Linked DNA regions of Mus musculus. The protein of the gene in region 1 purifies or fractionates together with the protein of each later gene. This does not show direct contact. Links are inferred from orthologs where the notes say so. Each region holds a gene or a part of one and is shown on either strand. Other genes may lie near its edges.

Evidence for each region. Proteins that work in one complex are often made in the same cells at the same time.
Region 2: the proteins of Mcm4 (region 1) and Sf3a1 fractionate together in Homo sapiens (co-fractionation; 3 studies listed by BioGRID, with this or other methods). This does not show direct contact. The link is inferred for Mus musculus from reciprocal best matches to the Homo sapiens genes MCM4 and SF3A1.

Annotation. Positions count from the first base shown.
Region 1 is NC_000082.6:15,627,347-15,630,995, forward strand, and holds part of Mcm4 (DNA replication licensing factor MCM4), read right to left. Parts: intron 3,175-3,649; coding exon 2,915-3,174; intron 2,322-2,914; coding exon 1,956-2,321; intron 1,375-1,955; coding exon 1,247-1,374; intron 511-1,246; coding exon 303-510; intron 1-302. UniProt on the Homo sapiens protein: Acts as a component of the MCM2-7 complex (MCM complex) which is the replicative helicase essential for 'once per cell cycle' DNA replication initiation and elongation in eukaryotic cells.
Region 2 is NC_000077.6:4,159,024-4,162,772, reverse strand, and holds the start of Sf3a1 (splicing factor 3A subunit 1), read right to left. Parts: upstream 2,420-3,749; 5' UTR 2,286-2,419; coding exon 2,223-2,285; intron 1,728-2,222; coding exon 1,606-1,727; intron 1-1,605. UniProt on the Homo sapiens protein: Component of the 17S U2 SnRNP complex of the spliceosome, a large ribonucleoprotein complex that removes introns from transcribed pre-mRNAs.

The DNA of each region.
Region 1 (3,649 bases):
GAGTTAAGAGCAGCCCAGATGAAACATGGCAAATTATATAGTAGGATTATTGGCTGGGAAATAGACAAAATAGCATAGAGGATAGCTATCTTCCCAGCTCTTGTGCTGTTTAAGGCTTAACGTAAATATAAAGGTTGAGTGTCTTTTATCTGGGAACCAAATGATCACAGGCAGGGTAGAAACCCCGGAATGGGACAAAACATTTCTATAACTTCTTACTTGTTAAAAATAAGCCAAGTGAAGTTAAGAGAAACAGATAACTCATCCAGAGTTACAAACTTATGTTTCATAAGCCTGGTTACCTCAATGAGAGCCTGGCTGGCCTCCTCACTCAGTCGGGGCATGATGGTACTATGGGCATATGCAATGTAGTCTTTCAGCACGGCCATGTCCAGGAACTCCTCCTCCACTTGCTCCTCACTTTGGTAGTACAATGAAACCAGGTGATGAGCTAGACGCCGGTCATATGCCTCATCCTGAGGGTCTAGCATGAGGAAAATGAGATCAAACCTGACAAGAGAAAAATACCATCTTCTTAGTTGAGACACTAAAACGTACCTACATATAGGACTTAAAAGGTGTTAAAGCGGGGCTGGTGAGATGGCTCAGTGGGTAAGAGCACCCGACTGCTCTTCCAAAGGTCAGGAGTTCAAATCCCAGCAACCACATGGTGGCTCACAACCATCCGTAACAAGATCTGACTCCCTCTTCTGGAGTGTCTGAAGACAGCTACAGTGTACTTACATATAATAAATAAATAAATCTTTAAAAAAAAAAAAAAAAAAAAAAAAAAGGTGTTAAAGCCAACTGTACTGTACATATTCCCACAGAAAGCTGCCATTTCTCCAGCTGACCAGTCCCTAGTCCTGCCTAGGTAAGAGCAAAGTAAAAAAGTTATAACTCTCTTCTGAGAAATGGATACAATATACAATTGGATATTGTATTTGGATAAAAACTCCTTCTACTGTTTTGAGGACATAGGAAGGTACTTCAGTGATAGAGCCCTTGCCTAACACATGGGAGGCCTTTCATTAAATCTCTAGTACCACAAGAAACAAAGCAAATTTATTAGTCAAATAATTAAGACACATAAATCTTGCCAATGAGGCCCGACAAACCAAATCTGAGTCAGTGTTTAATGTCAGTATAGAGACTAATAGCAGTTGTCGACCGCTTCTCAATCTCCAGGTGTCAATTCTAAGAATAAGCAAACAGAAGCATTTATTATATAAAAATGTTTTAGTACCTTGACAACAATGTGTGCGGTAGTTGGATATTTTCAATGGTTGTTTTTTTAGGATTCCACTGAGACTCAATAGGATTTGCTGCTGCCAGGACAGAGGTGCGCGCATTGAGCTGACAGATGATCCCAGCCTATCAGAGGAAGAAGTAGAGTTAAAAGCCTTTTCCTGACTCCCATGAGGAGGAAAACCATCTTCATCTGACATTTGCTCTGCTGGTTCTGCTTTCCAAGAGTCTCACTGACTTCAGTGCATAATGATAGTACTCTGCGCTCAGATTCACGTCTAAGATTGAGCTTAGACATAATTATTCTGCAGCCACATTTTTAGTTTAAATTATTTTATGTACTGGGTGTTTTGCCTGAACGCCTGTTTGTGTATTACATGTGTGCCTGGTAATCTTAAGAGTTCAGAAGAGGGCACTGGATCCTTTGGAACTGCAGTTACCGAAGACAGATGGTTGTGAGCCACATGTGGGTGCTAGGAATCAAATCCAGGTTTTCAGGCTAAGCAGCAACTGCTCTCAACCACTGAGCCATCCCTCCAGCCACATTTTTCAAATCAGAAAGCAAACTGGTAGTAACTTTAACACAAACTCAGGTTTGTAAGCACTACATATTACAGAGTAAAAGCAACTAACGTAAGAAGTTTCAAAATAGAACTGTAACTGCAAACTGTTGTGAGCCTGCAGCCACAGTGGACATCAGCACTCACCTTTGCAATGGACAGAGTCTGCTGTTCCATGACCTCATGCAGCACAGACCTTGTGCTTTCATTCATTTTGTCAAACTCATCGATGCAGCATATCCCATTGTCACTCAGGACGAGGGCACCTGTCTGGAGGACAAGCTGCCTGGTCTCAGGGTCTTTCATCACATAGGCGGTGAGGCCGACCGCACTGGAGCCTTTTCCAGACGTGTACTGGCCTCTGGGGACCAGGTTGTACACATACTGTAGCAGCTGGGACTTGCTGGTGCCAGGGTCCCCACACAGAAGGATGTTGATCTCAGCACGGAATTTACCCCTCCCAGTGTGACTGAAATCCTTCCTTGTTCCACCAAAGAGCTGAAGTAAGATTCCCTAAATAAACAAATAAATACATCTAAACAGTCATTTGTTGTACTGTATATGCTTAGCTTATGTTCTAGAGGTACTTTTCTTTTCTTTTTTCGAGACAGGGTTTCTCTGTGTAGCCCTGGCTGTCCTGGAACTCACTTTGTAGACCAGGCTGGCCTCGAACTCAGAAATCCGCCTGCCTCTGCCTCCCGAGCGCTGGGATTAAAGGTGTGCACCACCACGCCCGGCTGGTACTTTTCTATTTTATAAGTTCAAAGTATTACCAAAAATCATCTAAGAGTGCTCAGGCCATTCTACATATTCCTAACCATTATAAACCTAAGTAAATATTGTCCTACAACTTGACCAGCATGAATCCTTGTTGTGACCCCACATAACCTCCAATGTTTAGGAACATGAATATGCACAGCACAGATAAGTGTATATACAACAAAACAGTAGCACTCAACTATTAACCAAGGCAGGGGTCAGTGCCTTGCTATGTTAAGGCGAACAGTTCCTACCCATAGAAGACAGTAACAGTGGCAAATATATCTTAGTTACTTGATTCTAAGTAACTGTAAATCTCAATACCAAGCTAAAAAGTCCATTGTTACCTTTTTGATATCTTCATGTTCATAAATGCTGGGAGCCAAGGCTGAAGCAAGCCGCTCATAAATATCTGGCTTCCTGGAAAGTTCCTTAAGCAATTTCACACGTTTCTCTGAAAAAAGTTTCTGTTCTGCTTCTTCATCAAGGCCATGCAGACGTTTTGCATCCGTTTTCCGATAATGAATGACATCAATGTGGGTTTTATAGACAGACTTCACGTTGCTCACTCTTGGATTAACTCGAATTGGTACTGCTCGATATATGCCTAAGAACATATGTAGGAGACATGACGTTACCTCTCTACTTCTCTGTAAGCTCAGTCGACAGCGAAGGTCAGACCTGGGGGCTCCATCTCACTTGAGCACCCCACTACCTTTTAATCTCCCAGGCTAAGGCCCCCGTTAAGAAAGTCAAGATACAGAAGAAATAGTCAAGGAGCAAAGAAACACAGGTTTTTAAGAACAGACCCAAAATCATATTTGTAACCATCTGTGTTGTATGAGCTTAGGGAATTATCTGCATAACTACTCTACACAATTGTAGGTTCAAAGTGAAAAACAAAAAGGCTGTGTCATGACAGTATTTAATATAGTAATGTGACTTCCCTAAGTTAAAAGTAAAAAGAATCTACTTAGTAATCAGCATGGAAGAACAAGAGAACTTCCATAAGCTGTTTTCCTGACTTTCACCCCAATATACAAAATTTCAAAAAAACCAGCACTCAAATGCAAACCAGATTA
Region 2 (3,749 bases), on another chromosome or scaffold:
AGCTTTCAATGCTCTCTTAGCCGTTACTGTTTCACACAGAGTTCCTTCTAAAGAAAACTTCTAGCCGGGCATGGTGGCACACGCCTTTAATCCCAGCACTCAGGAGGCAGAGGCAGGCGGATTTCTGAGTTCGAGGCCAGCCTGGTCTATAGAATGAGTTCCAGGACAGCCAGGGCTACACAGAGAAACCCTGTCTTGAAAAACAAACAAACAAACAAACAAACACAACAACAACAACAAAAAAGAAGAAGCCTTCTATAAGGGAAAGACAGTGTGCAAACTCCTCTTACAGCTTCACTGACCAAGTGGAAACACTGGAAACCGTCTCAAAAGAAAACACATAGCCTGGACACTGCAACCTTTCCATAGAAAGCATGCAGCATGAGGGAAACTAAAAATTAGGAAATGTTTCCAATTTAGCATGCAAAGAAAATCAAGACATGACAGTACTTGTGTTGCTATTACTGTATCTAAAAAGGATGCCATGGTCAGAAGGAAACAGCTAATGGTGACAACAGCTGACAGGGGTTGTCCTCACAGTAAGATTGCTCTTCTTCATTATGCAACAGCCTTTCCCCAATTATTAGCATCACAGGAGAGAGGGGGGAAGGCATTAGGGTTATTATTAAATATTAGCCAATCACACACAACACTCAATGCCCTATCGTGAGGCATCTTTTCAGTGAAAATCCAAATTAATTAAAGTCTGCAAAGTGATCTGAACTCTCACGGTGTGCACAGTACAATTTACCAATCAGAATCTCTTTTGATGTGTCACTTCATTAGGAAGGTGGGAACAAAACAGTATTAAATGATTCAAGGTGGTAGGGATGCTCGCTAAAGGGAGTGACAAAGTGTGGGTCCTGGACAACACACGTCCTGTACACACTTCAAGGCCAAGAAGCTCTGCCATGTAAGAAGCAGCCTGGTTCAGGAAAAGCCAGAAATTCAGACTGACTGTGAAATCACCTCATTTCTAAGTGTGGTAATAGGATTTTTCTCTTTTAAGGATTCTAAGGACAAACTAAACATCTGCAGACTGGATAATGATGCTGGCTGCCAAAAGAATACTCTATAAGTGCCCTAAGCCAGGAGATGTGTTGACCGTTGGAAGTCAAGTGGCCCTTAGAAGATTCCATCCAAGGGTGCAGAAGTATGTGGGATGAGGAGGTTGAGGAATCCTGACCAATGTTCACCTTGCCTGGAAACTAGCTAACATGCTGAACAGCTTGCTCTGGATTCAGCTGAGGCTCTGGGAAAGTCGTCCTTTCACAATGAGAATAATCAACTCTTCTTTTTCTTTCTTCAGGTTAACACAGCATATGCACATCAGCAGCCACAAAGAAGCTACCAGGAATTTCCACAGACTTGTTTTGGAAGCAGAAACTCCTAGTGACTACACAGCTAGGCATGGCTTTCACTGCGATTACTGTTGTGGTATGTCAACCATACCAGTCCTATCTATCACCTACCTCATTGCTCTCCTGTGGTTTTGGAAGAAGTAAGGAGTCTAAGCCAGAGCCTCTAGAACTCCCCATGATGCCCCTGTGCTGCTTTAAAAGACCTTTATACTACAAGTTCCCTCTGTGCAGAAGCAGCTGTTACCTGGCCACAAAACTGGCAGTCTTGTCGACGATGTTCCTGACCTCCGGGGGAGGGTAAATAATGCCGACCACTGGCTTGGAAGGGGTGGGATCCTCCTTTGACGATGCTTCTTCTTCAATTGGCTGTGAAAACAGAGAAAAGGTAGTAAGGGCTTCAAGTCCCCGGCTCGGATTAGGCTATCATAAACGCTCCATGATACTGACAGGAACGTCTGTCCTGTAGACTGCAGACTCTCTTGGGTTAGCATCCGAGGACGCAGTTAAAAACAAAACAGGGCAAGTTTCCTTAGCCATACTGTATTTACGCAGCCATTCCTAATCTAGGGGAAAGAATGATTTGCTTAGCTCTCCTCTTTTTGAATGGAGGCTTCGTGGTTCACATAAGACCCCAGAGGAAGCCGGGGGTGCAGGTCCGCATGCTGGTTTTGAAAAGTCCGGTTCTAGGGATATCTTTTTCGAGACCAGAAGGCAACTCAGCGCGCTGACTCCTGGGACTTGCAGTCCCTCCATGTCCTTCGGGGTGGCCTGAGCTTCCAGCAGCAGTGCCACAGCGCCCGCGCGGAGGGGAGGAACGAGGCCTCCAGCAGGCCTGCAGGCAGGGAGCGCGGGGCACGATACCTGTTTGGACTCAGTGGCTACTGGCGGCGGCGGGGGTACCGCCTGCACGGGTCCGGCCTGCATGACTGCGACGCTCAGGGCTGCCAGTCCACCTCGGTGGCGACAACCGGTGCGACGACAAGATTAAAGATCACCACACGAAGTATCCAACTCAATGACAAGATGGCGGCGACCCAGAGAGAGAAGCCGCGGGAGCACTTCCGGTCCCGCCCTCTCGCCGTTTCGCACTTCCAGCCCCGCCCCGCCTGCTCCGTGGCGCGGTACGCCGTTGCCAAGGCAGCGGCCTGGGCTCCCAACTTAGAGTTGCGAGGCATTCTCGGAGCCTCAGACGCTCTGGAGGAAGTTCTGTGAGCCAGACAGACACAGAGCTGAGGCTGCGACGCCGGAGACAGGTAAGCCATTCCACATCCTCTGACTCTGAACTTCCCTCCTGACTCTGGCCGGTTCCTCGCCCCCTCAGCGCCCCACCCCTCGCCCCTGTTTCTTTCCTGTTTGGCCTGGCATTTTGAAGATGCCATAGAGTCCCACTTACTACACCTTTAGCCCCATTTTTTGGTTCAGCACCACCTCCTCTGCATCCCTCCTTACAGAGTCCAGGACATGGTGCTAACACCTTTAATTCCAGGAGACAAAAAACGAAGCAGATCTGAGTTCAAGGCCAGCCTGGGACAGAGCAAGTTCTAGATGAAGAAAAGCATAATTCAGGCGTAGTGGTACATATCTTTAATCCCAAGAGACAAAGCCATGCAGATCTCTGAGTTCAAAGTCAATTTCCTGAGCAAGTTTCAGGATAGCCAAGCTTAGGCAGTGAGGGAGTTGAAAAACAGAAAGCTGGTAAGATAATAAAGGGGATCAGGTTCCAGCCACAGGAAGCAGAATTTGGCTGTGTGGCTCTGGCTTTAGAGTCTAGAGTAGAAGGGATTGCTGGGACAGTTGATGCTGGTTAGCTGGAGCTAAGAAATTAGTGATTAAGACGAGACCAGCATCACTGAGGTGAAATCTTCTGGGAAGTGTTTTCTGAGAGCACAAAGAAGCTGTGTTCCAGAGATAGCCATGGTTGTTGCTGCAGCTGTACTTGGCAGTGTGTAAGAGTTACCCAGGCAGTATTAGTTTGAAGGCATGAAGGTGTCATGAAGAGCAGCTGAGGCTTGGCACCGTGAGAGGCCAGGGAAGGCCATTGGTGAAGGTGCAGTTACAGTTACAGTTGATGGCCCAGGACTGAAGGGGTCATGCAAAGGAGTTGAGGCTTGCCCCATGAAGAGAGCCTATGAGAGGCTCTTGGTGAAGCCTAGTTGCAGTGGTAGACCCCAGTGTATTGGAGATGCCAGTACGATAAGATGATAACCAGGAACAGCAGCAGCAGTTGGCTGGAGTCAAGCAGAGCCTAGAGTGCTTCAGAGGGCAGAGCTGGAGAAGTGATGCCAGCCCTTTAGAGGATCCCCAAAAGATCATGTGTGGATCCCAGACATTGGAATAAAAGTTAGATTAAGAAGCTGTAAAGTTGAAGTTGCCTTGGAGACCCCAAGA